Linked DNA regions of Coturnix japonica. The protein of the gene in region 1 binds, or shares a complex with, the protein of each later gene. Links are inferred from orthologs where the notes say so. Each region holds a gene or a part of one and is shown on either strand. Other genes may lie near its edges. The genes, in order: MALT1 and BCL10.

The links.
Region 2: the proteins of MALT1 (region 1) and BCL10 are in contact, whole or in part, in a cryo-EM structure (PDB 6GK2), measured with the Homo sapiens proteins. The link is inferred for Coturnix japonica from reciprocal best matches to the Homo sapiens genes MALT1 and BCL10. Residues at the interface, in NP_006776.1 of Homo sapiens: Asp46, Gln47, Ala48, Pro49, Trp54, Arg55, Leu74, Glu75, Ser78, Leu79, Val81, Leu82, Glu83, Pro84, Glu85, Gly86, Pro88; in NP_003912.1 of Homo sapiens: Leu13, Lys17, Val83, Arg87, Asn93, Gln97, Thr100, Leu104, Arg107, Asn108, Leu111.

What each region holds. Positions count from the first base shown.
Region 1 is NC_029547.1:743,557-746,313, reverse strand, and holds the end of MALT1 (mucosa-associated lymphoid tissue lymphoma translocation protein 1), read right to left. Parts: coding exon 2,582-2,757; 3' UTR 804-2,581; downstream 1-803. UniProt on the Homo sapiens protein: Protease that enhances BCL10-induced activation: acts via formation of CBM complexes that channel adaptive and innate immune signaling downstream of CARD domain-containing proteins (CARD9, CARD11 and CARD14) to activate NF-kappa-B and MAP kinase p38 pathways which stimulate expression of genes encoding pro-inflammatory cytokines and chemokines.
Region 2 is NC_029523.1:14,244,266-14,248,182, forward strand, and holds the start of BCL10 (B-cell lymphoma/leukemia 10), read left to right. Parts: upstream 1-1,334; 5' UTR 1,335-1,510; coding exon 1,511-1,588; intron 1,589-3,917. UniProt on the Homo sapiens protein: Plays a key role in both adaptive and innate immune signaling by bridging CARD domain-containing proteins to immune activation.

The DNA.
Region 1 (2,757 bases):
GAAAGCCCCGTTCACCGGCATGTAACTCAGCCTGAAACTGATGCTGTGCTCACACCATCAAAGGAACAAAACTCAGAGCTTTAGTTCAGAGAGGGCACCACGACCAGAGGCTGCTCCAGCAGCTGCCCAGGTTTAGTCCTGCTTCACTTTTAAAGTTCAGCCAAAGGAAATGCTCACCTCCTGCACTCGTCCTTCAGCACCAGAACGTCCGGAGCACGTCCTACGAGTGGTGACACCACAAGGAAATGCCTTCTGACCACCACCCCCTTCTTCAGCACAGGATGCTGAGGCACTGAACGGGTTGTCCAACGAGGCTGTGGATGTCCCAGCCTTGCAGGTATTTAAGGCCAGGCTGGATGTGGCTCTGGGCAGCCTGGGCTGCTGGTTGGTGACCCTGCTCACAGCAGGGGGTTGAAACCAGATGATCATTGTGGTTGATCTCCATCACAGACCCTACGGCCACGGGCTGAGCTTTGTCTCCTTCCCATCCCTACAGTTCATGACCTTCTCTTTACTACGTTCGAACAGATTCATCTCAAGCACCCGAGGCACCGATCGCTTCCCGCTCAGACCGCTGGTGCAGCACCCTGCATGCAGACAGGGAGCGCCGGCTGCTCGCTGTGCAGGGACACGGCTGCTGCATACGGCACTGCCGCACCAGGACGCCCCCCCGTGCCACGAGGAGCAGAGATCGACTGCAAACAAGCGTGCTGATACAGGCAGAATTCTGCTGTATGCTGTTACAATACAGCACAGTTTTAACCCGCAGGATTAGGAGAAAACAGCAGCTACACGCGCAGAGATACCCTGTGGGCAACAGTTTATTTGAGGAGTAAGAAACAAAGTTCTCATACAAAGCAGAACACGGTGACAAAGTACCAGGTCATATTACAGTGCCGGGACATTCATCAAGCTGTAATGTTAATTTATAGGCCAGCTGCATATTGCATAGGATAATTAATGCACAGTGCATCTCAGTCATCAATAAATACCTCACTGTTCTCCAAAGGAGAAATCAGAAACTCATACACAGATCAGTTCAAGTACAGCTGTCAATGTGGAGATAGATGACTACATTAGCTCCCACGTACACACACACGCCATGCAGCACAGATGAGATGAGCAGAGCTGGCCAGCAGCGCTGCTCACACTCAGCTGGCTTTGCTGGCAGCACACAGAGCACCCAGCCAGCACACCTGGATCCCATGGAAGGCTCCGTGCTCTACTGAGGATCCGAATTGCTTCGTCCATTACATCGCTGAGAATACTCAACTTATTGGGGGTACCTGTGATTCTCTGATTCTATGATGGGAATTTTAATTAAAACAATACCATTTAACAGTATTACCAAAGCTACAGGGCAATATACAACAGCTCCAGCCCTGCCACAAAGCCAGCATCCCATGGCTTGCACAGATTGTGAATGAGCTCTATTTGTTGCACTTGGGCATGCTGGAATCACCATCTTGGGTTCTTTGGTTAGACTTCTTTATCCTCTCAACATGAAAGAACGTGAATTCTTTTGGCTTGGAAAACAACTGAGTAGGCTGTTTGGGTTTTGCTTGCTTGTTTCAATCACCACAAGAAAGCAATGGCTTCTGCCCAGGTACACCAGCCCTGTAACTTCAGCCTGAAGAACCCCAAAGCTCTCGGTTGTCTCACCCATTCATTCTTTGTATCTCAGCACATTTTACTTAAGCAATACTTCGCTTGAGGAGACAGTTCTTAACACCAGAGTATCCAACCACCACACTTCCACTTCTGGAAAAGCCCTGCCTTTGTTTACTCTGTGTCATCTTATACACCCAACAGGAAGGTTGTTCTAACACGCTAAAACACCAGACCCCGTGCTAATGCAGTATGTAAAAAGAAGCCTCCGGATACTGAAAAACTGAGACTGAAGGGAAAGGTATTATTTATCATTTTGGGGCTAATGATTTCTTTTAAAATCACAGAGAAAATGGAAATTCATTTTCCTGCTCAAGTCTGCTGACATTTTTGTCCTCTGATGGCTAGGCACGTTTGTTTGTACAGAACAAGCATTTCCCCTCTAAAAGCTGAGTATTTAAGTACAAAGCACTCACTTACAGTAAACCTTACAATTCCAGTAGGTACTGGAGAAGCAGCAGCTGGGAAGATCCAAGGCTTCACCTTCAAGAGAAACGCTGGCACCAGAACCCGGCCTCTTTGCACTCTCTAACACAGATAGGAAGCTTCCTCCCACAGACCCATGCTTGCATGTGTTCTTTACTTTCTTGACTGCTGGATCATGGAATAGGAATCTGAGGAGTCTGGTTTTGTTTTCTCCTCATGTTTCAAACCTTTAATGGTAGGAAAAAATACATTTATATATGTCTTTTTCATTTCTAAATCTATCAGTCCAGTTTTGCCTCCTTGGATCCGGACAATTTTCCCTGAGAGCAATATGAACCAGCCCAAGTCACAGCCTTGTTCCCAGTACCAACTCTGCACTCCCCAGTCCTTTTATCCCCAAATCTCCAAAATCCAGAATCTGAGTAAGCAGTGTGGAGGATCTCCTGTTCAGAACGGAAAAAGAGCATCTTTGTTGAAGACACCACAGCTACTGCTGCTTAGACAACCTGAGGCTGTCAGACAGGAGGAATTCCAGTTCAACGGTATCATCAGTGGTCTCTATTGGTACGTTACTCTTTTCTGCAGGGGCTGAGTAATTCTGTACTTCGTGTCTCGAAGCTAACATTCTTGAAGTCCCATTGCAAGAACACGCCTCTAGTTGTC
Region 2 (3,917 bases), on another chromosome or scaffold:
ATGCAAAATATGATGGTTATTTAAAAAGAAATGCCCTTTGAGAATTTAGCTGTGGAATATCATGTCAGTGAATCAAGTCTTCCTTCACTGGGTTTGTGAATGATTCAAGTATAACCTGACAAAAGAAAAAGAAGTCAGTCAGTCTCCTGCACTTTGAACCACAGACGTCCTCATATTCTCAGCTACCTCACCCCAAATCCACAAGGCATAGGCAGATTGCTGTGGGTTTGTTGTTTGAAAGCTGTGGTTGTTAGCTCCAGAAATCCATTCAGTTTGGTCAAGGCCCCCCGATCTGTGTCTTTGACTGAACCAAAGTCTTTCCCAATGCCTGGAAGCTTTCTTCCTCACTTGGGCAGCGCTGCTGTGGAACATGAAGCACCCAGGGAGAGGCCCTGCTCTGCAGTGAGGCTGCCTGGGGAGAGGCAGATCAGTGCGGGCAGAAGGGGAGGAATCAGCAGCCAGCCATGGTGCTGCAGAGCCCAGTGGCCTCCTCTCACAATCCAATAGTGCTACAGAGCTTGCAGGGGCCCCTGTGTGAGCACTTAGAACAGTGCGACGTTGTAAGCAGTATCTGAAACTTGTCTGACTTGAAAATGTCTTCTAAACGTGCGTATGTACATGAATATATAAACCAGTGCAGTGTCTGAAATCTTCCCACCTCCCTTCAATAAAAGAGCTCTCTATTTCTCTCCTCATTGAGACTCATGTATCAGTATTGAATTGATGCTAACCTCCTGAAATGAGCATCATACTGAAAGCAGTCTCGTTCCGGCTGCTGGGCTTTTAATTCCAGTTTTATTGGCAGTAAATCTGCTCAAATCTATTCTATTACTGAGTTTTCTGCCCACAGTTACTTCCTTCCAGCTTGCCCCATGCTGGCCACTGTGGTGCACAGATCCAGAATCCCAGATCCAGAATCCCAGCTCTTCAGGTGCTGCGTGGCTTTGAACTGCACCTCTAACTGAGTGGGGTTAATAATATCTGAACTTCAGGGTGTGCAGCAGCTATTTTTGTTAGAACTGTTGTACAGACATCAAGGTCTTCAGCAGAATTTCATCTGAAGAGGAGCTGGAAGATGTTCAGCTAATGACCAATGTGGGAGTGGGGAGCTGGGGGACACCTGCCTCAGCTCAGCAGTGCCACAGCACCTTGTGGGCAGCTCCAGACGATCTCAAAGCACAAGTTTGCCCTGTCTGGGGCTGCAATTTTAACACCCAGCTCTACGGACATCAGAACAGCGAGTATTGCTGTACTTTTAAAGCGTTCTGGGCGGGATGTTTGCTATGGAACGTGCTTATGAATAAGCCAGCGGAGCAAAGCACCTGGAGCATGACCCGCTGTGACACTGAGGGACACGGAGCTCACGGGCTGAGGGTTGAACCAGCCCCGGCACAACCCACCCGGTGGGCGGGTCGGCCGCGTGCCTTCCTCGTGGCCCGGCGGGCGGGGCGCAGCTCGGAAGTGGTACCGGGGGCGGCTTCCGCAGCGGTTCGTTCGGAGCGGTTCCGCCATGGACGGCTCCGGCCCGGCCTCGAGCGCTGTCGGGCGGCCGTTGACGGAAGACGAGATGGCCGACGTGAAGAAGGAGGCGAGTGCCGGGCCGGACGGCGGGCGGGAGCCGGTGCGGTGGGAGGTGGAAGCGCCGTTAGAGCGGGCGGGGGGCGCCTCGCAGCGCGGAGTTCCCCGGCGGGCAGCAGGGCGGAATGGGGCGGAATGAAGGGGGCGGAGCAGCCTCCAGACACGCGGAACTTCCCAGGGCCGGGCTCTTCCCCAGAGCCCCGCCGCTCTCCGTCCGTCTTAGGGTAGAGTAGAAGTGCGGGTAGTTAAGGCGGTATCGGCAGGTGGTTGCAAGGACAGAGCTTAGCTTAGTTTCTTAACAGTTTTATGTGCACAGCTTTTCCTTTAAATGCTGTGTCATAGGTTGTGAGGCGTGTTTTTCGAGTTACTGCTTGCTTCTGTGGAGCCTCCAAGTGCAATAGGCAGCATCCGGTTGATGCCGCAACAACACAAAAGATGAAGGCAGGACCTACTTACATATCACGTCATGCATACAGGCTCGTTTAAATTGATCTGTGTTAGTGACTGAGTTCACGGTTTCTTCTCCCAGCAGTCCATCAGTATCCCTTCAGCCTCTAATCTTGCATCCCATATAGTAATTGGAGGACTTGATGGAAGGCTGATATGTAGTAAGAGAGAACTTCAATTTTAGCACCAAAATGCAATACAGTAAATCTGACTCTAGAGACTCTCCTATCAGGGAGGTTCATTGCTGCTTTGTTATGTGCTCGCTTGGTTGCTCCGAAGTTGTTCAGGTACCTCTGATCAGGCACACTCATGTGAGCTGTGGACCAGGCCAGGTGCTGGTCTTTCTTCATGCAGGCAGCACAGCGATGTTCAGAGCTTGCAGGGCAGGCGTGTGTGAGCATAACAAAAGAAACAGCTGCTTGTCCAGCTCTCAACTAGATTAAGTGGCTCACAGGGCAGTTAGGATATCAGAACAGATCCAGCTTAACTGTTGTGAGAGCACAGCTGTAATAAAATTTAAACTAACATTTAAACTTTTAGCCAGGCTCCTGATACCTTCTCCCTACCATTTTGTCACATCAAAGAAGACTTAAAGCAACTGCCCAGACTGTCACAGGAGTCTTACACCCTTTTCTGCACAATGATCTGTGAGATAGAAAAGTTGCACCATCAGAAATCCCACATGTCTTATATGACAGTGTACCTCAGAAGGCTCTTACAGAGATCTAGGGTAGACTTGTTTAAAGGAGAAATTACAAAGGGTGGAATCTAATGTTGGAGATCTGGGAAGAAGGCAGTGAGACATGCAAGAACACTGATATAGGAACGGGTTTTTAAAGCTCCTGTTCTTCTGTGTTGACTCTTTCTGTTCCTTACAAACTGCTCACCTGCGTGGACAGTCAGGGAAATTCAGAACTGATGCACATCGTGTAGTGTAAGGCATGGTACAGGAAGGTGTTAGTCAAAACACAGTACTCTTCTTTTGAGTAACAACTTGCTTTATACTTCTAATACTGAAGATTTTACTGACTCTCGTGTCTCAGAGTTTGTTGATCGATCCCTCATGGTGGTAGGAAGTGGTACGAGAAGTGGAAAAAATCAGTGTTGCAGGCAGTATTTGTAGCACAGCTTGCTGCAGTTGGACACTTGAGGCGTGTTGCAGAGCAGGTGGATACAGCAGTGCTGCCCTTCTCTGTTCTTACCAAGTCAGTTAGGCCAGTGCCCTGTCCAGCACAGGAAGCTGGATCAAGTCATCATCCAGTTGTGGAACTGGATCCTCTCACTACCAGGCTCAGAAAACACGTAGGGACAGCTACAGCTGCTGCGTGCCCGGAGCCTGAAGGAGCCACCCGTCTCCAGCCGCACTGTTATGCTCTGGTTTCACATTGAATTCAGTCTGACTATGGCAGTTTGCTCCAAAAACCTTCCCTGCTCATCAGTGCACAAGTAAAGCAAAGAGTCTCTTTCACGTTGTTTTCATATAATGTAATCTCAACAAGCTGGAGGAGGTTTTCTTCAGGAAAAAGCCATGATTGTTTCTTTCACCACTTGTATGTAAAGCTTTTTTCCCCACTTCTAGCTCTCAAATTGCTTTTTCTTTGAATTAAATGAGGAAAATTTGATGGAAGGAGGTTTTCTTTCACACTGGCAACTTTCAGCTAGCGGATCTGGCTTGTGTATTTCATTACAGTGAAAACTGTTGGCAAGGGAAACTGCCAGTTCTGTAGTATTATGTAAAATGAAAGCCTGTTTTTCAAGCAAAAAGGTATCATTTGTGACTCATCTTCATAGAGTAGTGGATTGGTTCTTGAAATCAGAGTTGGGAACGAGGCATTAGTTCTGTTTTGAAGTTAACGTACTGATTAAAATAAGAGGAATATAATCTCTATTTT